7 linked regions of the Ovis aries genome follow. The protein of the gene in region 4 interacts with the protein of the main gene of each other region in a pairwise test. Links are inferred from orthologs where the notes say so. Each region holds a gene or a part of one and is shown on either strand. Other genes may lie near its edges. The genes, in order: SPATC1L, KCTD9, ILK, TRIM27, ATOSB, NDEL1 and KANSL1.

The links.
Region 1: the proteins of TRIM27 (region 4) and SPATC1L interact in binary tests that used the Homo sapiens proteins (3 or more experiments, as listed by UniProt). The two-hybrid records come from large-scale screens. The link is inferred for Ovis aries from reciprocal best matches to the Homo sapiens genes TRIM27 and SPATC1L.
Region 2: the proteins of TRIM27 (region 4) and KCTD9 interact in binary tests that used the Homo sapiens proteins (3 or more experiments, as listed by UniProt). The two-hybrid records come from large-scale screens. The link is inferred for Ovis aries from reciprocal best matches to the Homo sapiens genes TRIM27 and KCTD9.
Region 3: the proteins of TRIM27 (region 4) and ILK interact in binary tests that used the Homo sapiens proteins (3 or more experiments, as listed by UniProt). The two-hybrid records come from large-scale screens. The link is inferred for Ovis aries from reciprocal best matches to the Homo sapiens genes TRIM27 and ILK.
Region 5: the proteins of TRIM27 (region 4) and ATOSB interact in binary tests that used the Homo sapiens proteins (3 or more experiments, as listed by UniProt). The link is inferred for Ovis aries from reciprocal best matches to the Homo sapiens genes TRIM27 and ATOSB.
Region 6: the proteins of TRIM27 (region 4) and NDEL1 interact in binary tests that used the Homo sapiens proteins (3 or more experiments, as listed by UniProt). The two-hybrid records come from large-scale screens. The link is inferred for Ovis aries from reciprocal best matches to the Homo sapiens genes TRIM27 and NDEL1.
Region 7: the proteins of TRIM27 (region 4) and KANSL1 interact in binary tests that used the Homo sapiens proteins (3 or more experiments, as listed by UniProt). The two-hybrid records come from large-scale screens. The link is inferred for Ovis aries from reciprocal best matches to the Homo sapiens genes TRIM27 and KANSL1.

The regions. Positions count from the first base shown.
Region 1 is NC_056054.1:266,614,745-266,618,244, reverse strand, and holds part of SPATC1L (speriolin-like protein), read left to right. Parts: 5' UTR 1-1,623; coding exon 1,624-1,972; intron 1,973-3,500.
Region 2 is NC_056055.1:40,148,736-40,152,235, forward strand, and holds part of KCTD9 (BTB/POZ domain-containing protein KCTD9), read left to right. Parts: intron 1-1,960; coding exon 1,961-2,057; intron 2,058-2,661; coding exon 2,662-2,720; intron 2,721-2,924; coding exon 2,925-3,053; intron 3,054-3,500. UniProt on the Homo sapiens protein: Substrate-specific adapter of a BCR (BTB-CUL3-RBX1) E3 ubiquitin-protein ligase complex, which mediates the ubiquitination of target proteins, leading to their degradation by the proteasome.
Region 3 is NC_056068.1:46,202,718-46,206,854, reverse strand, and holds the start of ILK (integrin-linked protein kinase), read left to right. Parts: upstream 1-1,337; 5' UTR 1,338-1,525; intron 1,526-1,847; exon of another isoform or gene 1,848-1,852; 5' UTR 1,853-1,874; coding exon 1,875-1,963; intron 1,964-3,771; exon of another isoform or gene 3,772-4,137. Other genes in the region: RRP8 (ribosomal RNA-processing protein 8), read right to left, coding at 977-1,075. UniProt on the Homo sapiens protein: Scaffold protein which mediates protein-protein interactions during a range of cellular events including focal adhesion assembly, cell adhesion and cell migration.
Region 4 is NC_056073.1:29,117,587-29,121,547, reverse strand, and holds the start of TRIM27 (zinc finger protein RFP), read right to left. Parts: upstream 2,801-3,961; 5' UTR 2,439-2,800; coding exon 2,019-2,438; intron 850-2,018; coding exon 754-849; intron 1-753. UniProt on the Homo sapiens protein: E3 ubiquitin-protein ligase that mediates ubiquitination of various substrates and thereby plays a role in diffent processes including proliferation, innate immunity, apoptosis, immune response or autophagy.
Region 5 is NC_056055.1:53,368,536-53,372,035, forward strand, and holds part of ATOSB (atos homolog protein B), read left to right. Parts: intron 1-1,129; 5' UTR 1,130-1,273; intron 1,274-1,519; 5' UTR 1,520-1,595; coding exon 1,596-2,489; intron 2,490-2,629; coding exon 2,630-2,688; intron 2,689-2,858; coding exon 2,859-2,964; intron 2,965-3,082; coding exon 3,083-3,241; intron 3,242-3,500. UniProt on the Homo sapiens protein: Transcription regulator that may syncronize transcriptional and translational programs.
Region 6 is NC_056064.1:27,824,456-27,828,668, reverse strand, and holds the start of NDEL1 (nuclear distribution protein nudE-like 1), read right to left. Parts: upstream 2,801-4,213; 5' UTR 1-2,800. UniProt on the Homo sapiens protein: Required for organization of the cellular microtubule array and microtubule anchoring at the centrosome. May regulate microtubule organization at least in part by targeting the microtubule severing protein KATNA1 to the centrosome.
Region 7 is NC_056064.1:45,912,785-45,916,828, forward strand, and holds the start of KANSL1 (KAT8 regulatory NSL complex subunit 1), read right to left. Parts: upstream 2,801-4,044; 5' UTR 2,774-2,800; intron 2,550-2,773; exon of another isoform or gene 1,974-2,549; intron 1,219-1,973; 5' UTR 1,077-1,218; intron 1-1,076. UniProt on the Homo sapiens protein: Non-catalytic component of the NSL histone acetyltransferase complex, a multiprotein complex that mediates histone H4 acetylation at 'Lys-5'- and 'Lys-8' (H4K5ac and H4K8ac) at transcription start sites and promotes transcription initiation.

The sequences.
Region 1 (3,500 bases), on a different chromosome or scaffold from region 4:
CATTCTACACTGACTCCCCAGCCGTCCATCTTCCGTCCTTGACCATTGGCCATCTCCTGGAGGGCTTGCTCACTGTTCCCTGTTGGTTCACCACCAGCCCTTAAGTCTGGTCCCCATGACAGGAGTGCTCCTCCATCTCCCAGCAGCCATGGGGGCTTCACAGGTACCCCTGCTCACGGGGGCTGTCCAGGAATCCTTGGGTCAAAGGCCACGTGCAGCTCAAGTGTTGACATGGACACTGGGACCCTCTCCAAAGGGCTGTGGCCTCTCCTGCTGCACCTTTCCCACAGCTGGTGTCACCCATGGGAGGGGGCCGCTTTGCATATGGTGCACATGTTCTGAGGGACAGGGTGGGGTGGGGGCCTTGGCCATCCCAGGCCTTCCCCTCCCAGGCCAGTTTCCTCCAGATCACCCTCGTGCCTGAGCCCCTGGCGTCTCAGAGCCTCCACAGTTGCCTGGACGCCTTGTCCTGCATGGAGTGTCCAGTGATGTTAAGTAGTTTCTGAGTGTTCTCTCTGCCTCTTCCCTTTACCATCACGAGACAGCTGCTTCTGTATTGTCATAAATACATTCTAAATAGCTGTGTAATAGTCCAGAATCAGATGAACCGGAATTTAATGAACTCTCCTTATGTTTGAAATGACAGTTCTTTTCTCTTACCCTGAAGTAAGTGTTAGTTGCTCAGTTGCTTCTGACTCTTGTAACCCCATGGACCATAACCCATAAGGCTCCTCTGTCCATGGAATTCTCCAGGCAAGAATAATGGAGTGGGTTGTCATTTCCTTCTCCAGCTCTGAAGTAAGTGAAGTGAAGTGAAGTCGCTCAGTTGTGTCCGCCTCTGCGACCCCGTGGACTCTAGCCCACCAGGCTCCTCTGTCCATGGGATTCACCAGGCAAGAATACTGGAGTGGGTTGCCATTTCCTTCTCCAGGGGATCTTCCCAACCCAGGGATCGAACCCAGGTCTCCCACATTGCAGGCAGATGCTTTAACGTCTGAGCCACCAGGGAAGCCCACCCTGAAGTAAATACCACAGCAAAAGCATTTTCTATTCAGAGTTATTGCCTTAGGGTATGTTTCCCTAAAGGTAGAATCACTGGCTCAGAAGGCAGGGTAATTATTTTCACATCTCTTTTTCTTACATTTGCCCAGAGGGTGAGATAGTCCCCTGCACCTCTATTAAGCTGCTCTGACTGTTTCTTCAAGTCTCTTTAGCCATTTCTCGCATAAATCTTTCACATTAATTGGTTTATTCCTGGGGCACTTTATGTTACTAATTGCAATCATGGATGGGATTTCTTTTTCCACTGTGTTTTCAGTTATCTGTGTTACTGTGTTTTGGAAATCTGTTGATTTGTAAATATTTAGCCTATATCCAGGCCCCTTATCATATTTTGCTTACTTTATATTTTTATTTTTACTTTTGGCCACCAGGCATGCTGGTTCTTAGTTCTCCGACCAGGGGTTAAACCCAGGCCCTGGGCAGTGAGAGCGTGGAGCCTGAACCACTAGACCACCAGGGAATTCACTATCCAGTCCCTCCCTGAGCTATTTTGTTCTGCTGAGTTTTCCAGTTCTTTCTCCCGTTTTCTCAGTTCTGTAGCTGCTGTTTACAGACTTTTAAATGGGGTTGGCCTCTCAGATGGGCTTCCCTGCTGGCTCAGTGGTAAAGAATCCACCTGCCAAGCAAGAGACAGGGCTCAATCCCTGGTTCAGAATGATCCCCTGGAGAAGGGAATGGCAACCCACTCCAATATTCTTGCCTGGAGAATTCTCACAGACAGAGGAGCCTGGCGGGCTACAGCCCATGGGGTCACAAAGAGTTGGACACGTCTTAGCAACTGAACAACAACGGCAGCTCATACGCTCGTTTCTGTCTTTCTTCCTCAGGAATCCCAGGACTTTTGGCCTTGACAGCCTCCCCGCTCATCCTTCTGGAGGGTGGTCGGCAGTGGACAGCCCTGTCTGTCCAGGTATTGGGGGTGGGGGGTGTAGGCTGGGTGCTGGGGAAAAGCCTTCTAGTCCTTATTTTTTAAGAACAACAATGACAACAAAATTGAAGAAGGGCTCATTTTGTTAAGATTTTATGACCTCACTTCTTTTCTGGCCAAAGTGCCCTCAGCTGCACCCCCACTGGCCTGTGGGGTCTTGTTCCACTGTGTCATTGAGAGACTCCTGGTTCTGGGCCTGAGCTGTTTGCTGTGGGATCTGTTTGGCTGGGGCTTCGCTCAGGATCTCTGGACTCTGTTTTCTCTAATTCCTATGTGAATCTGGGCTGCAGTTTTCTTTCTGTGAGTTGTCTTTTCAGGGATTTGATATCAGAGTTATGACAATTTATAAGCTTGATAATCAAGCATCGTTTAATTTTTTCAGTGTTCCAGCCTCATTCATGTGATGCAGGGGTTGTGAATTGTTTGGGGACTTGAAAGAACTCATCCACCAACCACACAGGTCTTCAACTCTTTGCCCATAATTCTATAACTTCTAGGTTTTTCTTTTTTGCTTATTCATCTGTGCAGGTTTTCTACTTCTTATTGAGTCATGGAAAATAGCTTCCCAAGTGATCTCTCCTTTATTAAAGTTTTCAAGTAATATTCAGTTGGATATAATCTTTTATGATTTAAACATTGTCTTCCTGGTCATTCTTATCTGGCTTTTCTCATTTTCAATTTTATTCTTTTGTTTTCTGTTTCTCTAAAGTAGCTTTCCAGGGTTTCACTATCTTATTGGACTTTTTGTAGAGCTGTTTCAAGTTTATTTCTGCTGCTATTTTTATTATTCTCTGACTTTTGCTTTCTTCAAGAGTTCATCCCTATATGAATGTTTAATTTTTTGATTATGTTTTAGAAGTAATTAAAGGATTTAAGTTGCTAATTTCACTTTAGATACAGTTTTAAATGTATTGATGGCAATATACCTAGTGTTCTGATTTTCATTATTTCTCAATAATCATTCTTTCTATTTCTATTTTCTCCTTGATCTGATTATTACTGAAGATAATTTTTTTTCTAATATGTATATATTTTTTGGTCTTAGTTGTGGCACTTGGGCTTTCTAGTTGTGGAGTGGACTGAGTTGTTCTGCAGTATGTGGGATCTTAGTTCACTGACTAGGGACTGAACCCACAACCCTTGCATTGCAAGGTGAGTTCTTAACCACTGGACCATTGGGGAAGTCCTGAGAATGCTTTTAATTTTGAGGAGATAGGGTTTTCTATTGACTCTGACTCATTTATAGTTTAATATGGTTTGAAAGTTTTGATTATGTGTATATGTATGTGTATGTGAAGTCGCTCAGTCCTGTCCGACTCTTTGCGACCCCGTGGACTGTAACCTACTAGGCTTCTCTGTCCATGGGATTCTCCAGGCAAGAATACTGGAGTGGGTTGCCACTTCCTTCTCCAGGGGATCTTCCCGACCCAGGAATCGAACCCAGGTCTCCCACATTGCAGGCAGACGCTTTAACCTCTGAGCCACCAGGGAAGTTTTGACTGAGGATTTA
Region 2 (3,500 bases), on a different chromosome or scaffold from region 4:
TATTCAAGAGGCTATCTTTTCCCCATTGTATATTCTTGCCTCCTTTGTGAAAGATAAGATGCCTGTAGGTGTGTGGGTTTATCTCTGGGCTTTGTATATTATTCCATTGGTCTGTACTCTGTGCCAGTACCATGCTGTCTTGATGACTGTATGTTTGTATTATAGTCTGAAATCAGGTAAGTTGATTCCTCCAGCTCCACTCTTCTTTCTCAAGATTGCTTTGACTACTTGGGGTCTTTTGTGTTTCTATACAAATTGTGAAATTTTTTTGCTCTAATTCTGTGAAAAGTGCCATTGGTAATTTGATGGGGGTTGCGTTGTATCTATATATTACATTTGATAGTATAGTCATTTTCACAGTATTGATTCCTCCAGCCCAGGAGCATGGAATATCTCTCCATCTGTTTGTGTTGTCTGTGATTTCTTTCATGAGTGTCTTGTAGTTTACTGTACACAGGTCTTTTGCCTCCTTAGGTAAGTTGAAATCTAGTAAATACGTTTCATCTCTTCCTTCATTTCTTTTTGATTTTTAGTTTCCCCTTTCATCTTTTACCTCCTTTCAGGCATTATCTGTGGTGTTCTTTCACTCCTGTGTTTCTTGTAATCTTCATTACTGAAATGATTTTTCTTTTTACTTCTAATTCTGAGTTCTCTTGTCCCATTTCTTCATTTTTGGTTCTGGTTTATATTATTTAACTCTTTTAGCATATTTGAAATATTATAGTTTACCTATTTTATGGGTATTTCTGCCACATCTTTATTATCTATAGGGATGTAGTCTTCCTTTTTAGAAATAATTTTGTATGGGAGTTTCTGTTCCTCATTTTTTACATGAAATTCATTTTCCTTTACTGGAGAAGGACAGGCTAACTTAGGAAAGTTTTCCTAATTTCATGGCTTTAGGTTTGCCTTTTTCTGTTTAATGTGAAGTATTGACAAATATGGGGATTACCTTCTTATGTATTCTGGTTCTGGTGGACCTTGTTGACTTTTATTATCTTTTTTTAAAATTTATTTTTAATTAAAGGATAATTGCTTTTACAATATTGGTTTCATTTCTGCCATACATCAACATGAATTAGCCATAGGTATATTTATATATATGTGCCCTCCCTCTGGAAACTCCCTCCCTCCTCCCACCCTTTCACACCCCTCTAGGTTGCTGCAGAGCTTAGGTTTGGGTTCCTGAGTCATATAGCAAATTTCCATTGGCTGCCTATTTTATGTATGGTCATGTATGTGTTTCCCTGCTGCTGTCGCCATTTGCCTCACCCTCTCCTTCCTCCCCTCTGCCTGTGTCCTAAGTCTGTTCTCTGTGTCTGCATCTCCATTGCTGCCCTGCAAATAGGTTCATCAGGACCATCTTGCTAGATTCCACATATATGTGTGTTAATATGTGATATTTGTTTTTCTCTTTCTGACCTACTTCACTCTGTATAATAGACTCTAGGTTCATCTACCTCATAATACTGAGGTATTCGATGTGTTCATTTTCCCAGCAACTTACCCTCTCAGTGTGGGGCTTGTTTCCTAGGTGGGAGTTTTGAGAGTTCATTTTCAGCCCCTTCAGATTTTACTGCACACTACTTGAATCACCTGCAGTTAAGAGTGGGCAGACCCCTCCACTTCCGGGTGGTTGTTCTCAAGCAGATTTGCTGAGTTTTGAAGTGAGTCTTTACGGATTACTTTGGAATACTTAGGATCATTACATACCCTGCTGTTGCTGTCAAAGAAGCTGATGCCATAGCTGCTGTCCTAGCTGTCAGTGCTGGTGGTATACCTTATACTTAGTTTTGTTTTTCATGCTGTCTATGGGTACAGGGCTTGCTGTCCTGGTAGCTCTGCCATGCTTTCTATGTGTGTTTTTGGTTTAAAAAATTATGGTATTACCATCTTCCCTAAATCACCAAATTAATGCCTCCCCAAATTAATGTTTATTTTTTCTACCTGTCATCTCTAGATCCTCAGACAGATTCTAAACTGCCTGAAGGGCTGTCAGGATCTCACACAGACTGGCTCACATTAAATGTTGGAGGGCGGTACTTTACAACCACACGGTAGGTGCACATGCACGTGTGTGTCAGTGTGGTACTATGTGCTGTCTGTCCTTTCCTTCAGAGTACTGATTTCCTTAGGAGATATTCCAGTGCTGCTTAAATATACTGTGTGATTTGAAACCAATTTTTAGAAAGACTTTTTTTTAAGAGTAGAAAAATGGCTCATAAGTCATTCCAGAGAAGGCACAAAAAGCATGAATTTAGCATTTTTAGAATGTGTTTTTAAAATATTGAGCAATATACTTGTAACACAAGTAAGAAAATTAACAACATTGAAATTTTAAGACACAACTGCTTATACTAAAGGGATAAAAACAGCCTACTTTAGAGCATGAAAATTGTGATATAGTTGCGTGCTAGAGGGATAGATTAGCATTGAAATTAAAGTCAACTAAATCGATGTTTAAATCAAAGGAAGTGCCAGATTAGAAGAGATTTTGATAAATGGCAACTTACTGCACATTTTTGTCTCCCAGCATCACTCCTCCCAGGTTATAGCATGCATCTTTTTGAGAGAGCAGCTGAGATCAAGTATACTCTTGACTTAAATATGTTTGTTTATAAAGACAAATGGAGAAATCCATTTTTTTCCCTGAATTCTTAGGAGCACTTTAGTGAATAAAGAACCCGACAGTATGCTGGCCCACATGTTTAAGGACAAAGGTGAGTGCAGTCCATAATTTTCCCATTTTGCATCTAGCTATATTGACTTTATAAACTCCTGTCCTTCTGTACTTTTTAATGGTATTGGTAATAATCTGTACAAGAGTAAAAACATACTGGTATGCTACACAGTTTCCTTCCTATGAATTTCTGACTTTATTTTTTGCTTATGGGGGGGCTATCTTCATTTTGTTGGCCCCACAGGTGTCTGGGGAAATAAACAAGATCATAGAGGAGCTTTCTTAATTGACCGAAGTCCTGAGTACTTTGAACCCATTTTGAACTATTTGCGTCACGGACAGCTCATTGTCAACGATGGGATTAATTTATTGGGTGAGTTTTCAATGTAATTCCTTATATTTTTATAAGTTTGGGATTTATACTTTCTTTTTAACTAGCTTAGTGTAATGTATTTTCATCAAGTAAAATTATCGTTTTCATTTTTAAAACTAAATGCTTTTATGTGTGTATGAATATATATTGTTACAGAGGTATAGCCACAGGTAAATGGCTTTTCACGTATGTATATAACCCATGAATTCCAGTTTGGGATTCTAAATAGACTTGGAATGTATCAGTAAGCACTCTAAAGGATTTTATTATTCTTTTAAAATCTTGTTTGTTTCCTTTCTAAGCTGTTCTCTATTTGTTTTTGGCTGCGCTGGGTCTTTGTTGCTTTGTGCAGGCTGTCTCTGGTTGCGGTGAGCAGGGGCTCCTCTTTGTGGCAGTGTATGGGCTTCTCGCTGCGATGGCTTCTCTTACGTGGAGCACAGGTTCTAG
Region 3 (4,137 bases), on a different chromosome or scaffold from region 4:
CCCAACCTTTGGGAGGCTGGAGAGCAGAGAAACCACCCACCTCACTTTCTTCATTGGATAGATGAGGTGATGGGGTTCCCAGAGAAACACTGTAAGGCCACGAGCTACAGGACCGAGGCTAGTGACCGGGAGTTCCAACTCTCAATCTCAGGTTTCTACCTCTAGCTAATACCTTTTTATAAAAAGTAGGAAGATTTTTGAAAATAAGAGTGACATGATCACACATGTGTGTATTAAAGATGCCTCCAGTTGCAGTGTAAAGAACCGAAAGAAAAAAAAAAAAAACACTGAAAGAGACAAGCTGCAGACAGAGGCCAGTGGCGGGGATTACAGCAGTGGGTCGAGGGGTTGAAGAGGAGAGAATAAAGCAGGCAGATTTCATGTCACAGGCTGACTGAAGGACAGAAAGAGCCTGAGCAAGTGCAGCAGCCCTCACATCGGCAGAGGCTTAAAGGAGGACTACTGTCTGGGAGGCCGTTCTGGACTAAGTCCCACTGGACGGATCCCTCATCCTGGAGACTCTCAGTACTCCCTCAGCTCCAGCTCCCTTTGAACAGCGGCACTGACAGCCCTCGTTGCCATTCAGTTTTGCTCTTTTCAATCTCCACACGGCAACCAGTGACATTTTCAAAACGCAAATCTGAAGAAATCATCCCCCTGCTAAAACACTCCATTGGCTTCTATCTTTAACGTGCAAATATTCTAACGTAGCCCTCCAATTTCTACCACACTGCCTCTCATTCTGTGTCATGCTCCCTTGACCCGGGTCTCTCCACATGCCTTTCCTTCCAAGAAACCCTCTTTGCTTCACTAACTTCTACTCACCAATTCTCTCTCAGTTCCAACGTCACTTTCTTTTGGAAGTTCCGGATCTGGGGAGGCTGCAAGCGGCCCCCCTCCCCCTAATTACACACGCGGCGCGCCCCAGCTCCGGAATCCAGCAGTCTGTTCTGAGTACTCCTGCAGGGCCACTCACCTTGATTTGAGAGGTTGCCGTGGGCCGAAGCCCTAAGGCTACAGACCCGAGGTCCGCGACTACAGGGGCCTCCTCGGCCCACTCCGGCTCCTCGAACATGGGGCTGGGGAGCGCAAGGTTGCGGGATCCACCCGCTTCTCCACGTGCAGACCACGTCTCTAAGAATCAGACCGCTCAGAGACGCCGGAACAGGGCAGGAAACCAAAGAGTGAGAGCTGAAGTGGCTAGAGCAGCCGGCGCAGTGCCGAAAACCATCGAGTTTAGACACTGGTGGGCTAGAAGGGCAAGGAAGGCGGGAGGGAGGGGCCGGGAGAAGGAGGCCCGCGCTGGCCTGAGAGGGCCAGGGGCGGGGCCGGGCGGCGGGCGCGGCCGGACGGGAGTTCCCCGGAGAAGGCTCCTCTAGCCCGAGTCCCGGTGAGTGTGGGGGCACCCGTGCCCCCTCCCCAAGGCTCGAGCTTTACCAGGCGGTCACCCCTCCCTCCACCTACTCGGTTCCGAGTCGGGAACGAGGGCCATCCTCGGCAAGGACCTCCGATCGCCTCCTCCAGGGTATACGGCGCCTAAACTCCCCACCCCCACCCCCCAGCTCTGTTCGCGGGTAGGGTCTCTGTGCTTGCTCTCGTGACATCCCTTCGGAAGACACTACCTCTTCATCAACGCCTACTTCGCCCGATCCGCCTTTCCCTCGCGCTCAAGGGACACAGTCCAGGACCATTCCGCTGCCTCCCTAACTCCTTACAGACATCCAGTAGCTGGGGACGCAGAGCCCAGACCCCCAGCCCAACACCACACTTCTCTCCTGTAGGGGACAAAGCCTGGGGCTCACCCCCCCCCCCCCCAAGATCCTTCTACAGTTCCCACACTTTCCCAGTCTAGGGGACTCTGCCGGGACGCTGCTATGGACGACATTTTCACTCAGTGCCGGGAGGGCAACGCGGTTGCGGTCCGCCTGTGGCTGGACAACACGGAGAACGACCTCAACCAGGGGTGAGCTGGGGTGGCTGGGGGGCGAGAGGAAGGGCAAAGACATGCTCCTCTCCGCTCTGTGGGGTGCTCACTTCTGGTGCGGGCGGCTTACTTTCCTATTCAGTGTGATGAGGATTAAACAGCCTGTCAGCGGGGCAGAGGGTCTCCACACCGGAAGCTGTTGTTTGAGCTGAATCTTGACTGAATAAGAATTTACAGGCAGAATCTGCAGAGTATTCTAACTTCAGTGAACCTCATGGGCAAAAGCTAGGGGGCAAGACACGGAGCAGAGAGTGCCAGAAACTGTCCGGAGCTCCATATGGCTAGAGGAGAGAAAACCGCTGGGCTTCTGTGGGCTAAAGCTCTAAGCACAAGTGCAGAATGACAGAAGTTAAGACTGGAAAGGTCTGCAAGGGTCAGTCAGATCATGCAAGAGTATTTAGGCTATAATAATTTTTTATTGCAAGGGCAAGGGTTTAGAGCCATGTAATGGTACGATGAGATTGTCCATTTGTTAAGTGTCATCTTGGATGCTTTATGAAGAGCAAGTGGTGATGTGAAGAGAGGCAACTAACTGCCTAGTCCATCTCAAGTGGTGATGGCTTAGACTAGAATTGGGACAGGCAAAAAAGAAAAAAGTGATCAAATTCCTGAGATCTTTTGGATAAAGAATTGGTGAGACTTGGTGTGGAAAGTGAGGTCAAAGATGATGATCAGGGTTCTGGCTTGGGTAGATAGTGGTTCCTTTTATTGAGAAGGACAAGGCTGAAGGGTGGTGAGTTCCACTCTGCACACATTTAAGTGACAATAAAGTGGATGTGGAGTGGGCTGCTGGATTTCAGGAGAGATCTGACTTGGAGACAAAGATTTGGGCGATATTAGCATGACTGGAGAAGGCAATGGCACCCCACTCCAGTACTCTCGCTTGGAAAATCCCATGGACGGAGGAGCCTGGTAGGCTGCAGTGCATGGGGTCGCTAAGAGTCGGACACGACTGAGCGACTTCACTTTCACTTTTCATTTTCATGCATTGGAGAAGGAAATGGCAACCCACTCCAGTGTTCTTGCCTGGAGAATCCCAGGGACGGGGGAGCCTGGTGAGCTGGTGTCTATGGGGTCGCACAGAGTCGGACATGACTGAAGCGACTTAGCAGCAGCAGCAGCAGCAGCATGAAGATGGGCTTCCCAGATGGCTCAGCAGTAAAGAATCTACTTGCCAGGGCAGGAGCTGGCAGGAGATGCGGGTTCAACCCCTGGGTCTGGAAGATCCTCTGGAGTAGGAAATGGCAACCCACTCCAGTATTCTTGCCTGAGAAATCCCATGGACAGAGGAGCCTGGAAGGCTGGTCCATGGGGTTGCAAAGTCAGACATGACTAAGCATGTACACGCATGCACACACAGACACACACAGCACGTAGATGGCACCTGAAGAGGTGGATATGAAACCGGATGAGAAACCTAGAAGACCAAACAGGAAAATATGCTGCTGCTGCTAAGTCGCTTCAGTCGTGTCCGACTCTGTGCGACCCCACAGACACCAGCTCACTAGGCTCCCCCGTCCCTGGGATTCTCCAGGCAAGAACACTGGAGTGGGTTGCCATTTCCTTCTCCAACGCATGAAAGTGAAAAGTGAAAGTGAAGTCGCTCAGTCGTGTCCGACTCTTAGCGACCCTATGGACTGCAGCCCACCAGGCTCCTCCATCCATGGGACTTTCCAGGCAAAAGTACTGGAGTAGGCTTAAAGAAGTGAATGTTTCAATGAAAGGAGTGGTCAGTGGTACTCTAGATTGCTAAGAGGTCAAAGAACTTGAGCACTAAAGTGTAACCATTGAATTTACAATTATTTATGTATTTAATGATCTCTGTGAGAGCCGTTTCAGAGGAAAACAAGTGAAAAAAACCAGACTATACTTGGTTCCTTCATTTAAGGAACTATACTGAACACGCACTGGGTGCTAGAAGTCCAGAATCAGGCATAATGCTTGTCCTCAAGGCAGTGGTCTCCTGGGCAGGTTGAATGTGAAGTAGAGAAAGTGAATGTAGACAAGTTCTTTAAGGTTGGCTGAGACAGGAAGGCAAGAAAAGCAGTAGTGATGCTGATTCAGGATCGTAGAATTTTTTTAAAGTGAGGAGAAAATAGATTTTAGGTTTGAGAGTTAAGGATCACCTGTCACTTTCATCCAGGCTTTATGGG
Region 4 (3,961 bases):
AAGGTTATCTGTCCTTCCTTCTCCACCACTTATCCCACTGAGAGACTCCACAAAAGCTTATTTCAGAATAAAGGGTCAGCAAACTCCCGTGTTTACTCCCTTGGAGTAAAAGTTTATTGGGAAACAGATCCACTCATTTAAATGGTGTCTTTAGCTGCTTTTGAGCTATGACAAGGGAGCTGACTGGTTGTGGTAGAGGTATAGGCCACAAAGCCAAAAATATTTACTCTCTAGTCCTTTACAGAAAGGTAAGGGACTATTTTTTCCAGAACAACCACCCTCTCCCCCAAATATCCCTACCACAAAGGCCTTGGGAAACTAGGAGAAGGGAACAAAGAGAAAAGTTCAGAATAGAATCATTGCCAAGAAAAAGAACATTCCAACAAGAAGCAACAGTCAAGTTTATGGAAAGCCACTGCCAGCATCTGTCTGCAGAACAATACAAAAGGCTGCTAACCAATGCTCAAGAATTTCACCAGAATCAACCCTGATCTGCACAAAGCTAGCAGATTAAACTTTTGCTAGGTCAGATCTCCAAGGGTTTAAAGTTGACTATTCCATCCTTTTCCCCCCAGATGTGGGAATCCCTTGGTTCTCCAGGTGAATTCTTAACTGCCATGTAAGGTTGTTCCACCCGTACCTATAAGTTCTGGGTGATCTGACTGCACAAGGTTAAGGGAAGTTTACAAGTCTTACAATATAAGAGAGTGACCAGAAGAACCGATATTATCTACGAATTCTCAGGAACCTCACCAAGAGTTCAGCTCGCGCCTGCTCTCCCTGTGCCCTTCGCCTCTTCTTTAAGTCTTTCACTCTTTTTAGGTGGTCCAGCTGGTTCTGGATTTGCTCCTGAAAAAGCAAAAACAGATGTACAGCTCAAGATAAGGCAGGCCTTAGCAGTGTGACTCTTCTGCTTATCACCTGTGTAACCCACATTCACGATGCCAAGTTCTTGGTGAGAGCCTGTCCTTGGATCACACTGCCATCACTGTGGCACCACACCTCTCCTTTGGTAGTTTGTATCTTAAATGGTGGGTCACCTACCTGCCTTTGGAAGGATACCGCATGGCTTAGTGGAAAGGTGAATAAACTAGAAGGCTTTAGTTGTCGAGCTTTCAGGGACAGGTAAGGAGAGAAAAGGACTTAACTTCTCCTATTTTCCCTTGGTGTGACATGAACCAACACCACCTTCTCAACCTAATAGTGTTCGGTGTGAGTAAAATGGTATTTTTGAAAGCACCATAAATGTTCAGTGAATAATTTTGCATGAACATACTCACATTTACACATGTACATAATTGTGTGGATGTTCTCTGCAGTCCTCATACACAGATTATGTGCACACCTTGAATGTTGTCTTACAACTATTTTATATTTAATACTTTATTTCCATGCTATCGTTGAGCTGTACAAATCTGTTGGTGCACAAGGGAATCCACACAGCATTTTATTTCACTCAGTCTTCATTAAGTCTTATCTCCTATGAGTCGCACAGTGGTTAAATGACTTAGGCAGTAAGAAACTTGTTCTTTTCCGGGAGGTTCTAGAAGAGGACGGAGCACAGGGAAGTGCTGGGGGAAAGGAGAGGTGATGGGCATCTATTTGATGTGAATACAGCCGGGCAACGTCCGACTGTGTTTTGTCTGAGATCATCTAGGAGCCAACAGGAATGCGAGCGTCTCTGAAGCTTGTCGCTGCGTACGTGGTTTTACAGATATCTTATATACAGTCAAGAGGGGTCTCCATGGGCCGTCATGTATAATGTGCCCGTGAGAGGGTAAACACAGAGGCACATACGCAATGAGGGTGGGGAGACTTCTGGCTTCATCACCAGCTACAGGTTTTCCTCCCAAATCTGAGTGCCGAGGCTCTGGAGCGGACAGAGGAAATGACGGCTGTGAACCACACGTCCGGCTCAGCCATTTTCTAGGCGGAAAAAAGGAAGCCCCTTTGGCTCTCTCCTCCCTTTGTCCAACTCGCGCTCCGGCCCCTCCCCGGCCCGCGCGCCCGGCCCTCACCTTGAAGCCCTCCACCGCCTCCTCGAGCGGAAGCACGCTGTGGCCGCGGTGCTCGCGGGAGCGGTCGCACACCACGCAGATGGGCATCTGGTCCTCCTCGCAGTACAGCTTCAGGGGCTCGCGGTGTTTCTCGCACACGCCCATCTCGCCTCCGGGCCCCGACGGCCGCTCTGTGCGCAACTGCTTCACCAGCTGGGTCACGTTGGCCAGGTGCCGGTTGGGCCGCATGTGCCGCTGCGGGAAGGTCTCCCGGCACTGCGGGCACGACACATTGGTCTCCGCCGCGCCCCAGCAGCGGGCGAGGCAGGCGCAACAGATGTTGTGGCCGCAGTCGAGCATCATGGGCTCCACAAAGTACTGCAGGCACACGGGGCAAGTGGTCTCCTGCTGTAAGCACTCGGCCACGCTCCCGGAGGCCATGGCGCGGGCCCGCGGGGGCGAACGGGCATGGGCCCCGGTGCCCAGCCCAGCGCGGAGCCCAACTCGATTGCGCTCCCTCCCGTCCGCTGTTTCTGGGCGGTGCGGAAAGGCCAGCCGGGCTGACGGAGGGCGACGCCTCCCGGGCCGATCCCAGACGCGCCCGCGCGCTGGAACGGCGGGTGGCCGGGCCGCTCCCTGAGCCGCTGCGCCGGGCGGAGGGAGTATGGGGGTACCGCGGCCCCACCGAGCCCAGCGACTATGTGAAGGGACAGCAAGATCGCCGCCGATCGGACTCCCGGAGCCGGGCGCTCAAAACGCGCAGGACAACGTGGCCGCGTCGGAGCCGATCCCAGCGGCCGCGCAGACCCCACCCCTGCGCGAGCGGAAGAGGCGGCCCGGGGGCGGGGCCTGGGCCGGACCTCCTTCGTGAGGCTGGAAATTGCGGCCTCAGGCCTGGACGGATTCTTTCACAGGGAACCCGGGAGGCCTCGCCGCCAGGGCGGGGGCGGAACGCGCGGGCGGAAGCTCCTTGGGTACGGGTCCTAGAGGCAGGCGGTGTCCACGGGGTGCGGCGGGGTCAGGATAACCCCTGCCTGCACGCTCCGGGCGCCCCCGCCGAGCCTTGGGCCTTGGGCCTGGATCCCGGGTCTTTTGTTGGGTTTCTTCTCTGGTGCTCAGGCCTCTGCCGCGGCGAGAGAAAGCTGGCTTTGTGTTGGTGTGGGAAGAAGAGACATCTGGCTTCCCCGGTAGGCCAGAGGGCTGGGAGTAGCCGACTCAGCCCCACCCAGTCTGTGAGGAACTTTATCAAACAACCCCATTGACGGGCGCTCGCAGTTGCGTTTCGTAAAAGAAAGGATTAATTATTAGATGAAAACATTTCTGTGACAGAAACAGGCAAGCCCAGTTCTGCTACTTCCTACTGTGCCTAAGCAAAGTGGTCTACCATTCTGAGCTTCAGTTTCCTGTCTGGTGAAACGGGAGTAATTATACCCCAGCTCCGTACAACTTTTTAACCCTAAGGAGGTTTACCATTAAAATAATAAAATACCCACTGCCTAGAACTACTAAATAGAACTTAAACATGCTTGCTCATTAATAAAACACCTAGTGCCTAGAGCTGTACTGAATAGAACTAAACAGGCCTGCTCCTTCCCGAAGTATAGGGGGAATGATAATCCTGTGAGTAACACAGGCTGTTTTCATTATCCAACAAACTTACAAAATTTTTGCGTTGTTCGCCCATCCCTACTTTGGTGTTTCCTGTTTTCCTTTGCTATTTTCTCGATATTGTCCTTCATCCTCTAAACTTAATTGAATTTGGACAGCCTTGCCTGTGTTTATTTTAATTTCCATTGTTATATTTTGAACTAAGTGATTTCAACAATGTCAGTTTACAAATCTTTTTTAAATGAGTTAGTAACTGGTTGAATGTGACCTATTCCACCAGTTTCCTTGTTTATACTCTTTTTCTCTAACCTATTTACACAATGTTTCAAAGAAACAGATCCGATACTTCAGTAACT
Region 5 (3,500 bases), on a different chromosome or scaffold from region 4:
CTGTTGCAGGATTACAGGAGACAGTGACACTGCCATAAGTGAGGTCTCAGAAGAGATAAATATTTATGGTCCAGGCCAGAGGAAGTTTTATGGAGAGGATGGCATTTGGCCTAGCCAAGGAGGAAGGGTAAGACTTGGATAGGCATAAGGGGACATTCCCCCCTGAAAAGGAAAGTGTTTTGTGGATAGCAGGCAGCAAAGGCTACTAACCAAAGCATAAGTTTGATCCTGCATGCAGTGTTTTCTCCCATGAAGGAAGAGAGCCTTCGATTTGACATCCCCTCACCCAATATGGGCTCCTGAGGGTGGACTAGTTAGGGAAGACCATCTTGTACCCTGGCAGAAAAGCAGTGGTTTGAGTTTTGGGGTGCTGGATGTGTTGGGGAGGAGTAGCGAGGCACTCCAGCTGTCTGGCTGTCACTGCCTTATCTCTAGTTTGCAGAGCCTGGGGGAGGGGCAGGCCCTGGAGAGTGTCTTCTAGCAGTGCTTCCTCCACACCCTGCCCCCTCTAGACTTGTTTTTGGTTAGATTTGTTGCTTCCTGTTAAAGGGACAGACTGCTGGGGACAATTGGGAGTTTAACTCTGAAAGACCCACTTTGAGCTAGCCTGAGGTTTGTACTTCCAAGGAGCCCTGACTGGGGAGGAATATTTTTGTAAGACCTCTGCCCTGAGAATTATGGAGTGGCATTTGTTCCTTTAGAGATAGGTGTATGGGCAGGAGTTGTGCAACTCAGTGGCCTTGACTAGGAGAGTTGAATTCTTGCCTTGGCCACCTTTCAGTTGTCATGGTCTTTTGGATCTTGGGGTTTCTCATCCCCCATCTCATTCAGGGCAGGAGTCCCCCAGCTGGTGGCCCTGACAAGTAGTTTTCCTCCCTCAACTTACTTGTCACATCCTATTACAATGAGCTAAGACCTGCCACTCTGTGACTCTTTGTATAACCCAGTTCTGCCCTCTAGGCTCTGGATCCCAAGACTACTGCTTCCATCTCTGCAGGGGTACTGTGAAGGAGTATGTCCTCTATAAACTGGAGGAGGATGTCCTGGGGTATACTCTGTGAGCGCAGCCCTTCCACTGGCTCCAGAGATCCTGGCTTATGCCAGGCTTTTCCCATTTTTCTCTCCTCAGAGTCCAGCTGAGCCTAGGAGCTGCACGGAATGGTGGCAGTCACCTTGCCAGTGCAGCAGGCATGGACCAGACTGCAAGCTAGGAGAGCAAGACATCAGCCAGGAAGAGGGAACACACAGCTAGGCTTGAGGCCTCTTCATCGGGGTGAGTGCCAGAGAGAGAGGCGGGGAGCAGATTGAGTTAGAGACCTGAGCGAAACGGGTCACCTGTTCAGCAGTTTTGAGCATGCCCTCTGTATTCCATCAATCCATCTGGGGCGTTTGGTTATCTTCACCCTGCTGGAACCTCACAAGGTCACCTCTGTAGTCCAGGGGAGGATCTGAATTTCATCTGGGAGGGAGATGATTCATGGATTCCTCTCACCATCTTTTCTTCTCTTCTCTTGCACAGATGTCCCCAGGCCCCCCAGCCCAAGCCCAGCATAAAGGCTGTGGGGGGGGTCCCCCCTGACTGAAGGCGGGGCTTCATGCGCCACGTGCAGGCGGAGACATCTCCATCCTCAGAGCCAGAGGCTGGCCCTTCGCAGCCTGCAGTCAGGCAGGGGGCCCTCCAGGGTGGCCTGCTCATGGGCTACAGCCCAGCGGGGGGGGCGACATCCCCCGGGGTCTACCAGGTATCCATCTTTTCCCCTCCAGCTGGTGCCTCTGAGCCTCCTAGGGCCCTGAAACGGCCAGCCCCACCTACCGAGTGTCCCAGGGAGCTGAAGAGAGGCCCCGGACTAGGGGCCAGAGAGGGACTATCCCCTGAAGAGCCACCTACTGTGGGGCTCTTGGGCCCAGAGGGACTGGGGCTGAAACTGGGCGTGGCCAGCCAACATTTCTGCCATCACGGCCTCTGTGTTGTGGAACAAGGAGGTAGCTCCACCTCACCTTGGACTTCGGGGGCCCAAAGTTCCCCCTTGCCCCCATCAAATGCTTCCTGCAGTACTTTGCACACCAGAGACTGGGCTTCCCCAGATCCAAGGGGACAGGGGTCTCTGGGGGCGTCCCTGGGGCCAGCCCCTCCAGGCCAGCTGCACACATTTGACACTGATTTGCACAGTCTTGCACAAATAGGGGGTAAGAGCCTAGTGTCTGGGGTGGGCAATGGGGGCAGCCCCTGGCCTAGGGAGTCCCCTGGCACTGCCAATGGGTGCAGCCCCGAGCACACACCCCCTGGCCCCGGACCTCCAGGCCCCTGCCCCACCAAGCGAAGGCTGCTTCCTGCTGGAGAAGCCCTGGATGTCAGCTCTGAGGATGAGGGGCCAGCCCCTCGGAGGCGCCGGGGAACACTGGGCCACCCTCCTGCTGCCAACAGTTCTGATGCCAAAGCCACACCCTTCTGGAGCCACTTGCTGCCTGGGCCCAAGGAGCCTGTGCTGGTAAGCCAGGAGAGGAAGTGGTCTGCACTTATGTGGATATCTGTGTGGGGAAAGCTGATGGCATGGGGTATGTTCCTGTGAGAGCTCGTGATGAGCCTGGCTTCCATCTAGCCTTCTTACCTAATCTTTCCTCTCCACAGGACCCAACAGACTGTAGTCCCATGGGGCGGAGGCTGAAAGGTGCCCGTCGCCTGAAGCTGTAAGTGTCCTGCTTCTCCTTGAAAAAGGGGCAGAAGTCTGTAGTTCTCTTTCCAACACCAGGCAAGGGGACCTCAGGGAAGGGGCCTTAGGTGGGGCCCAAGGACAATAGCAAACATCCCAGAACATCTCAAGTCAACCAGCCCACTCATGTGTCCTCTGCCCTACCAGGAGCTCCTTTCGAAGCCTCCGGAAGGGACCAGGTCTGCTGAGCCCTCCCAGTGCCTCCCCGGTTCCTACCCCTGCTGTCAGCCGTACCTTGTTGGGCAACTTTGAGGTAGTTCCCCTTGGATTCCTGGATTGGTGGGTCTTGCAGGAAGGGATGGTGGTATGTGGCTTGGATAGATAAAGAGAACAGATAGCATCTTTCTCACGTTTCCCTACCCTAACCCCAGGAATCATTGCTGCGAGGACGCTTCGCACCGTCCGGCCGCATTGAGGGCTTCACCGCAGAGATTGGAGCTAGTGGATCCTACTGCCCTCAGCATGTCACGCTGCCCGTCACTGTCACCTTCTTTGACGTTTCTGAGCAAAATGCCCCGGCTCCCTTCCTGGTATGACCTGACCTCAACCCAAAGGGCATGAGGGGTTAGAGGCAGGAGGTATTCTCTTTTTTTTAATTGACAATGCAAAAGACTTTATTGGGAAAAGGCATTCAGGTGGAGAGCAGTAGTTGAACTGCTTTGGAGGGATTCTTGAGATGTTCTTACCTAAGAATCAGGGCCTAGTGGGAGAGAACTCTTGTATGGAGCAGGGGTCAAGTCCCAGGATGAGAGATGGTGGAGATGGATGAGTGGTCTGGGGTCTCCCACA
Region 6 (4,213 bases), on a different chromosome or scaffold from region 4:
ATTCTTCAATGTAATCTTTGTAATTGCCTTAATAAAAGTGGATATGAAATTTAAAACAAATGGTATGACATTTATTAGAGGAATCTGGACAAATGAATTAAAACTGTGAATATATGTATAACCTTTTACCCAGCACTCAACTTATTAAGGATTTATCCTAAGGAAATTATAGAAGTAATATGCAAAGACGTATGTTCAGTGATGTTTACTGCAGCATTGTTTTATCATTATGCCCAAAACTGGAAACAACCTAAACACCCAGGAGACTCATTTAATAAATCATAGTATAATCCAAGCACTGGAATACTACACAGCTGTTAGGAAGGACAAGGAAGATTTTATAAATTAACATGAGATGATACTCAAGTGATACTAAGTGAAAAAAAGAGGGCTTCTCTGGTGGCTCAGTGGTAAAGAATCTGCCTGCCAGTGTAGGAGACGCAGGTTGAATCCCTGATCCGGAAAGATCTCACATGCTGCAGAGCAACTAAGTCTGCCCGCAACAAATATTGAGCCTAAGCTCTAGAGCCGGGTAACCACTAACTATTGAACCCGCGCACCACAACTGCTGAAGCCCATATGCCCTACAGCCCATGCTCTGCAACAAGAGAAGCCACTGCAATGAGAATCCCAAGCACCACAAAGAAGAGTAGCCCCCACTTCCCGAAACTAAAGAAAAGCCCACAGGCAGCAAAGACCCAGCACAGCCAATAAATAAACAAGTTTAAAAATGGTTAGAGAACAGTAAATACAGTTTGACACAAGAAATATTGTTTTAGAAGTCTAGTTAATTTCCAAAATATATAAAGAACTACTACAACTACCACTACTACAACTCAATAACAAAAATACCAAACAACTCGATTTAAAAATGGGCCAAGAACTTGAACAGGTATTTCTCCAGAGAAGTATACAGATGGCTAACAAGTACATGAAAAGGAGCTCTACATCACTAATCATCAGGGAAACACAAATCAAAACTACAACGAGATACCACACCCCCTGGGAGGAAGAAAAAAACCACCACCAGAAAATAAGTGTTGGTAAGGATGTAGAGAGATTGGAACCCTTGTACATTGCTGGTAGGAATCCAAAATGGTACAGCCACTATGGAAAACATTCTGAAAGTTCCTCAAAAAAGTAAACACAGAATTACCATATGATTCAGCAAATCCATTTGTGAATACGAAAAAGAATTAAAAGCAAGGACTCAAGTAGCCATCTGCACACTCGTATTCACAGCAGCATTATTTACAATAACCAAAAGGTGGAAGCAATCCTGTCCATCAGCAGATGATATAAACAAAATGTGGTGTCTATAGACAATGCAATATTTTTCAGCTCAGAGGGTAAAGTGTCTGCTTGCAGTGTGGGAGACCCGGGTTCAATCCCTGCGTCAGGAAGATGCCCTGGAGAAGGAAATGGCAACCCACTCCAGTACTCTTGCCTGGAAAATTCCATGGACAGAGGAGCCTGATAGGATATAGTAGGATATAGTCCATGGGGTCGCAAAGAGTCAGACACGACTGAGCGACTTCACTTTCACTTTAAAAAAGGAAGGCAATTTTGACACCTGCTACAACATGCATGAACCTTGAAGACATTACACTATGTGAAATAAGCCAGCCATCAGAGGACAAATACTGTATGGTTCCATTCAAGAGAGAGTAGAGTGGTAGTTGCCAGAGACGGGTGGGGAAGACTAGGGAGATACTGTTTAATGGGTACACAGTTTCACTTGGAGAAGAAAAAAAATCTGGAGATGGATCTTGGTGATGGGTGCATGTCAATGGGAATGTACTTAATGCCACTAAGCTGTATGCTTAAAAACTAATTTTTATTTCATGTATATTTTGTTGTTCTTGTTCAGTCACTCAGTTGTGTCCAACTCTTTGTGACCCCATGGACTGCAGCACACCAGACTTCCTGTCCCTTACCATCTCCCAGAGTTTGCCCATGTTCGTATCCGTTGAATCAGTATATTTTATCAAATTTTTTAAAAATTCAATTTTTTAAGTAGAACTTTATATACCAGTGTCACTAATAATCTCTGGGGCTGGAATTATGTAAAAATTTTCCCTTTCTCTTTGTTTATATTTTCACCAGTTACCACAATCAGGAAAAAAAGGTATCTAGTTCCATTTAGAAAATGAAAGTAACCTCACACCCTGAGAATGCCGTCTTACAGTTTACAAAACACTTTCACAATCATCATCCTGCTTAAGCATCACCAACATCCCAAAAAACAGAGACATTTTTGAACTGTGTAGACCAGAAAGGTTCAGAAGACAGTGAATTGCCCGTCAGTAAGACAAGGAGCCAGGACTTAATCACAAGCCCCAACTCGGTCAGCTCAGCAAACTTTCAAGCATCACACCAGCTGTGTCGAAGTCAATCCCAGAGAAGCCATCTCCCAGAGATGAAGCTCGCTCTACAGCCTAGAAAAATGTTACCTGGGCAGCTCACGTAACACACAACCAAATCAAGGTGATGAGATTTTAGGGGGGTAGAGGTCAAATGATCTGGTTTCAGGAAGCCACCCCTGGTACCATCCCTCACAGGGACATAACCAACTTCACAAACTGACCCCAGCCTCTGACAGTCCCCCACAATGGACAGAAAGGGTCTACCAGGAGCCCCCCACTCTGGCCCTGATCTGGCCCAGACCTTATCCAAGCTGACCCCCCAGTCCCCACCATCCCAACATACCTGGTCCTGTGTCCCAGGCCTCGCAGATCAGATCAACAGCAGCACAAAGTGGCTGGAGCTGAAGCAGCTGAAACAAAGTGGAAATCAACAGGAAGTGTGAGAATCACCTTGTGACAAAAGAGGCACGAAGACCGGAAGTGGGTTTGGGCCAGGAAGGCTGCGGCCGGCCTTCTAGAAGTGAAGCAACCTTGCAGCCCCACTGCTCAGCTGCTATTGAGCAAGACTTCAGGGTTGAGGAAGGAGAAAAAGAAACTCAATCCCTAACTCTTTAGCCAGAACTTCAAGCTTCCCCTTTGTCTGTCTCCAGCCCTGTATTAGAGGGGAAAAGCAAGGAGGAGAGCTTTCCCACATTAAGGGTAGGAGATGCAGGATCCCTGTTGATTCAGTGGTAAGAATCCACCTGCCAACCTAGGTTCGATCCCTGGTCTGCAAACCAAGATCCCACATGCCCCAGAGCAACTAAGCCCATGCTCCACAACTACTGAGCTGAAGCACTAGCGCCCTAGAGCCCTTGCTCCATAACAAGAGAAGCCACTGCAAAGAGAAGCGCATGGACCACAAGAGAGTAACCCCCTGCTCACAGCTAGAGAAAGCCCATGTGCCACAACAAAGACCTAGTGTAGCCAAAAATAATAAATAAAAGGTAGGGCTTCCCCAGTGGCTCACTCAGTAAAGAATCCACCTGCAGTGCAGAAGACACAGGAGACTCAGGTTCAATCCCTGAGTTGGGACAATCCCTTGGAGGAGGGTATGGCAACCCATATATTCTTGCCTGGAAAATTCCATGAACAGAGGAGCATGGTGGGGTACAGTCCATGGGATCGCAAAAGAGTCAGACACGTCTGTGAAACTGAGCACACAGGAGATGCCCAGAACCTGGCAAAGCACACCTGTGGCTTCAGAGAAAAAATGGGAAGTCAGAGGGAAGTAGCCTCCGCCTACCACTTTTGGTGGCAAGACCTTGAATGAGTTGCTGTGTGTCTCTGTGTCTCATCTTTGCAAAATGAAATGGAGGTGACACCAGTACTGACCTCATGGCATTGTTTGGGCTTAAATGAGATAATGTGTGTAATTGGCTTCACATACATCCCATTATTCCCTTCAGTGGTTGGTGGCATCCCCCCTCCTTTCTGCCTCTCCAAATCTGACCCACTCCTTAAGTCTTTGGCAGGTCATGCCACCCTGGTCTGGAGTCACTTCTCGCCTCCACAGTGGCTGCAGGTCAAATGTGTCACTGGGTCCCACCATGTCGGAGAAGCACCACGGTTAAGAACTACGACTGAGGCCCTTCACCGATAATTCCTTCCCATGGAGCTGTCTATCTCCCCAAGGTCACCCAGGGAGGGTAAGGGCTGCATGGATTTGTCTCTGTTTTCCCAGGAGCATCTACCAGAGCACTGGAAGTTAGTCCATAAATGTTCATGGACTTTTAAGATGCTATGAAGGTTTCAGACTGACCTCAGGGCAGCTCAGGATCATGTTGTCTCCAGCCTGGGGCTGCTGC
Region 7 (4,044 bases), on a different chromosome or scaffold from region 4:
ATATAGAACTCCTCAGCCAACAATAGCAGCTGGAACATAAATGAAGATGCGAACTCAGTCTACATTTACCTAAAAATTTCCCGCAATCCAAGTGTTTAGTTTACACAGACTGCATTAATACCTGACGTATTCACTGCATTAATTTGGAATTCCACAGGGCAGGTTAACAGACAAAAATCTAACTACATTAGTATTTAGCTCTGAAGGAAGTCACCTGTACCATCCAGTGAAGCTTGTGGGGGCTTCCATTACTCCTTACCCTTCCCCATCCTTCCTCCCTCCCATTTTCCTCCCTGCATGTATCTTAAGCTTTATCCTCTGTTTAGTCTTTCTTAATGGAGAGAGTTTCCTGGCCATTTAAGTACAAGAAACTGGAAGTAGCCAAGAGAAAGGAGAACAACCACATCATTGGGAGCTTTTTCATGTAAAGATCGTGTTCTCACACTGCCCCCAAAGAGGTTTATCTTGTGAGGTGAAATATGGCACAAAGTGCTACCTGTTGAGAAAAATAGTACAAATTTGCATGCAAAGGACTAGGGAATAGCAGGAAAACTCCCACAAAGCTACAGATATAAACAAACAGGTCTTAGAATGTTCTAAACATCAATCAAGTTTCAGAGTAAATAAATGGCTAGTGACACATCTTCTGTAACACATGAATCAGCTACAGATTTGCAAGAGTGGGACACACCCTAACACCTATGATGATACTAAAGGACCTGTTTGAAAGTGGACCCGGCTGTCTGAATTGCCAGCCCATCCTACTGAGACTGGAACAGAATTTTACAACGGTGTGGGGTTGTCATAATTTAAAGCTAAAAAATAAACACATCATTATCATGAAAGTTAATTTGAGAACTTCATTAATATTTTAACACCAATAATTAAGGACAGGAGCAATACAAAGGAGTAACCAATCAGTTCTAGGAGGCAAACACAAGGGAAAGAAATGTCAGGTAAGACGGTTGAAAAACTGCAAATTCAAAAACTAAAAAAATCTCAATTCTAAAAAATAATAATAATAAAACGAGACCTTTATAATTAAAAAAAAAAAAAAAACCACACACACATCTTACCTTAAGAGGCATCCAAGTAGCATTCATAGTGTCAGCAGTAGTTCAGGCAATAATACTCAGAAACGAGCAAGAATAGAGTCTTAGTAATTCCCCAGCCACCAAGTATGAGAAGATAGGAAAATTTTTTGTTTCAAAAAGGTATCTGAAAAAGAGAGGACTTTCATTTAGACTAAAAATAATCCAAAAATAAGCATATAGTTTAAACTATCTGGACAGAGATTCAAAGTACTATTTGCCTCACCATTTTAAAAAAATGTAGAAAATAACTGTTCCTTTTGGAGAAGGACAAATGCGTGTGGTGTATGTTTCTCCACAGGTATGAAGAAATATATTTCTCCATAAAATTGGATTAAATGTGTAACACATATTTCAGATAATATAAAATTGCTTATTAGAATTATTTCTCAAATAGAAAAATGATTGTCCAGGGTTACTTCATAAACACTATTAAAAAGTGATTTTTTTATCTGATCACTAAAAAATGCCCTTGCCACATTTAGTTTTAATAAATTAAACCCTCTCTGATCATTTTGATTGTCCTAAATTTTCTTGAGTTTAAGCTGCAGAGCCCATTCTATGTGGAAAAATAATAGCCATTCTTGACTGAAGTGCTACAAATAAAAGACCCTTCTTTCCTAGAAATCTTTAATAACAGGCCAAACAATTTTGAGCCAAGTTTGTGTGGAGGTAGGAGGATGGATTAAATGACCTCTTGTAGGATTCGTGCTCTCGTCCTAGGCCTGAATGAAAATTCCAGCTTAACCAGTTACTGCTTCGCTTAAAATGGAGGCTTGCCCGATTAGGGACAAAATAACAGCACCCACCTCTGTAAAATAAATTTTTAAAAATTCAAAGCCTACAGTACCCTCATTTTTAAGAAAAATTAAAAATAAAAACCTCTGGAGTGGATTTGTTCTTGCTATGCGTTTGTCACTTCGGCGTCGAAGACTTGGCATCACTTTCCTTACGCTCGTCGAATTTTTTTTTTTTTTTTGGTGGGGGGAGGGTTGGGGGGAGTTTGACTTCTGACCCAAGTCCGGGAAGGATTTAAGAGCCCCTCCATAATCCCCAACGCAAGAGCTAAGGGGCGAAGAGAAAGGGGAGAGCCCGAGTTCCCACCCCTCCCCCCACCCTAGACCCCAGTCCCAAACAGACCCCCCCTTCCCGCAGTGAGGCGACTCCTTCTGCCCCAAACCCATTGTTAGGGAGGGGGCGTAAGGGAGAGGGGGCTCAAGGCAGGGCGCCGGCGGCCGTTGCTCCGCTCGCTTCTGGAAGGGGGCGGCCCGCGGGATGCAGCTTCCCTTCCTCTCCGCGTCGGTCCGTCCCACCTCGGCTCGGCCTGGCGCCCCGGGCTGTGCTCGGCGCCCCCGGCCCCGGGCCCGGCCCAGCCCGCCCCCCGAGTACCAAGCCCCCGACCCCTCTGCCCGCAGCCCGAGGCCCAGGCCTGCGGGTGGGCGCGGGGCGGGGGTCCCTATGCCCCACACACGCGTCCCCGCTCCCCCAGCCCAGTCGCTTCCAGGGCCCTCGGCGGCGCCCGCTCCCCGGGCCCGTCGGCCCCCCGCCTCCCGGCCGGGCCACCCCCTCGGGCTCCCGCCGTTGGGGCCGCCTCCCCTTCCCCACCATCACCCCTACCGACTCGTGCCCCCACCCCCCGGGGCCCCAGTGCCAACGGCGGCTCCCCCGGCCCCCGGACCTACCTGCACAGCTCAACCAAGCCTAGAAGTGGGGGCGGGGAATCTTCCGCCCTCCTCTATCTCTCATTGGCCCTTCCGGGGAACATAGGTATCTCTATTGGCGGGCGGCGAATGTCCGTCAGAGTGGTGGGGCGGGACAGAAGGGGAGAGGGATGCTGGTGCCTTGGCGTCTCTGTCTCTGTGTATCTCGCTGTCTCTGTCTCGGAGCTTGGAAATGAGAGACATTTGGATGAGAGGACTGGAAATGGGCCTCAGGTGGCAGAAATAGAAACAGGGATCCTGGCAGAGCTTCCCGCAAGTCTGTCACTCCGAACCCACTACCTAAGTCCCCTTTAGATCCTCTTCCCCATCACCCCCAACCCCGGCCCCTCACCCTTGTAGGTTCTTCATCCAGGAAGCGTTGTGAAGAAAACTCGAGGCCGGAAGGCCACAGAGGGAGATTTTATATATGTATATAAAATACACACATACAAATACTTATATAGAAAGTCAACCAGATATAAGGTCACAAGGGCCTGGAGAGGAAAGGACACACATCTGAGATATAGCCAAAATAAAGAATAAAAAAATCACTCTAAGAGCTGGTAACGTGGTTTCCTTCTGGGAGGGGAGTTGAGGGGATCAGGTGTGAGGAAGACTTACATTTCACTATATATCCTTTTGTATCTTTTGATTTTAAAGATTTTGATTTTTTTCCTTTTTTTTTTTAATTACGTGGCTTAATTTTAAAATAACTATAAGGTGGCAAAACCAGGGGGACAGTTAAAATGGTGGTCCGGACAAAGAGGGACAGCATGAAGACTTGGTGAGGAATTTTAGTTTTTAGTATGTTCATTTCCAGATAGCAGGGGTAAAACCAAGTAGAAGTGTTCAGGGAAAACTGCAGTTATGGAATTCAGGAGGGGGTGGATAATCTGGGGAGATGATAGAGTTCTTCACATAATATGGCAATCAGTGACATGCTAAAGGAAGAACTCCCCATAGAAACATAAAAACACATCCACAGTAAAGTAAGGCGGGTGAACAGAAACAGAAAGATGGTTGGTGAGATAAGAAAAACAAATAGTGAAGAGGTATGAAAGTTAAGGGAGGAAGGGTCTCTGGAAAAATAAAACAATAAAACTATGAGAACCTCACAGATGGTACGACTCATTTCAGGGACCCTCTTTAGCTTTATGAAATAAGAATGAGAGCTTGCTATACACCTGAAACTAACAACATTGTAAATCAACTATACTTCAATTTAAAAAAATTTTTTTAAATTAAAAAACCAA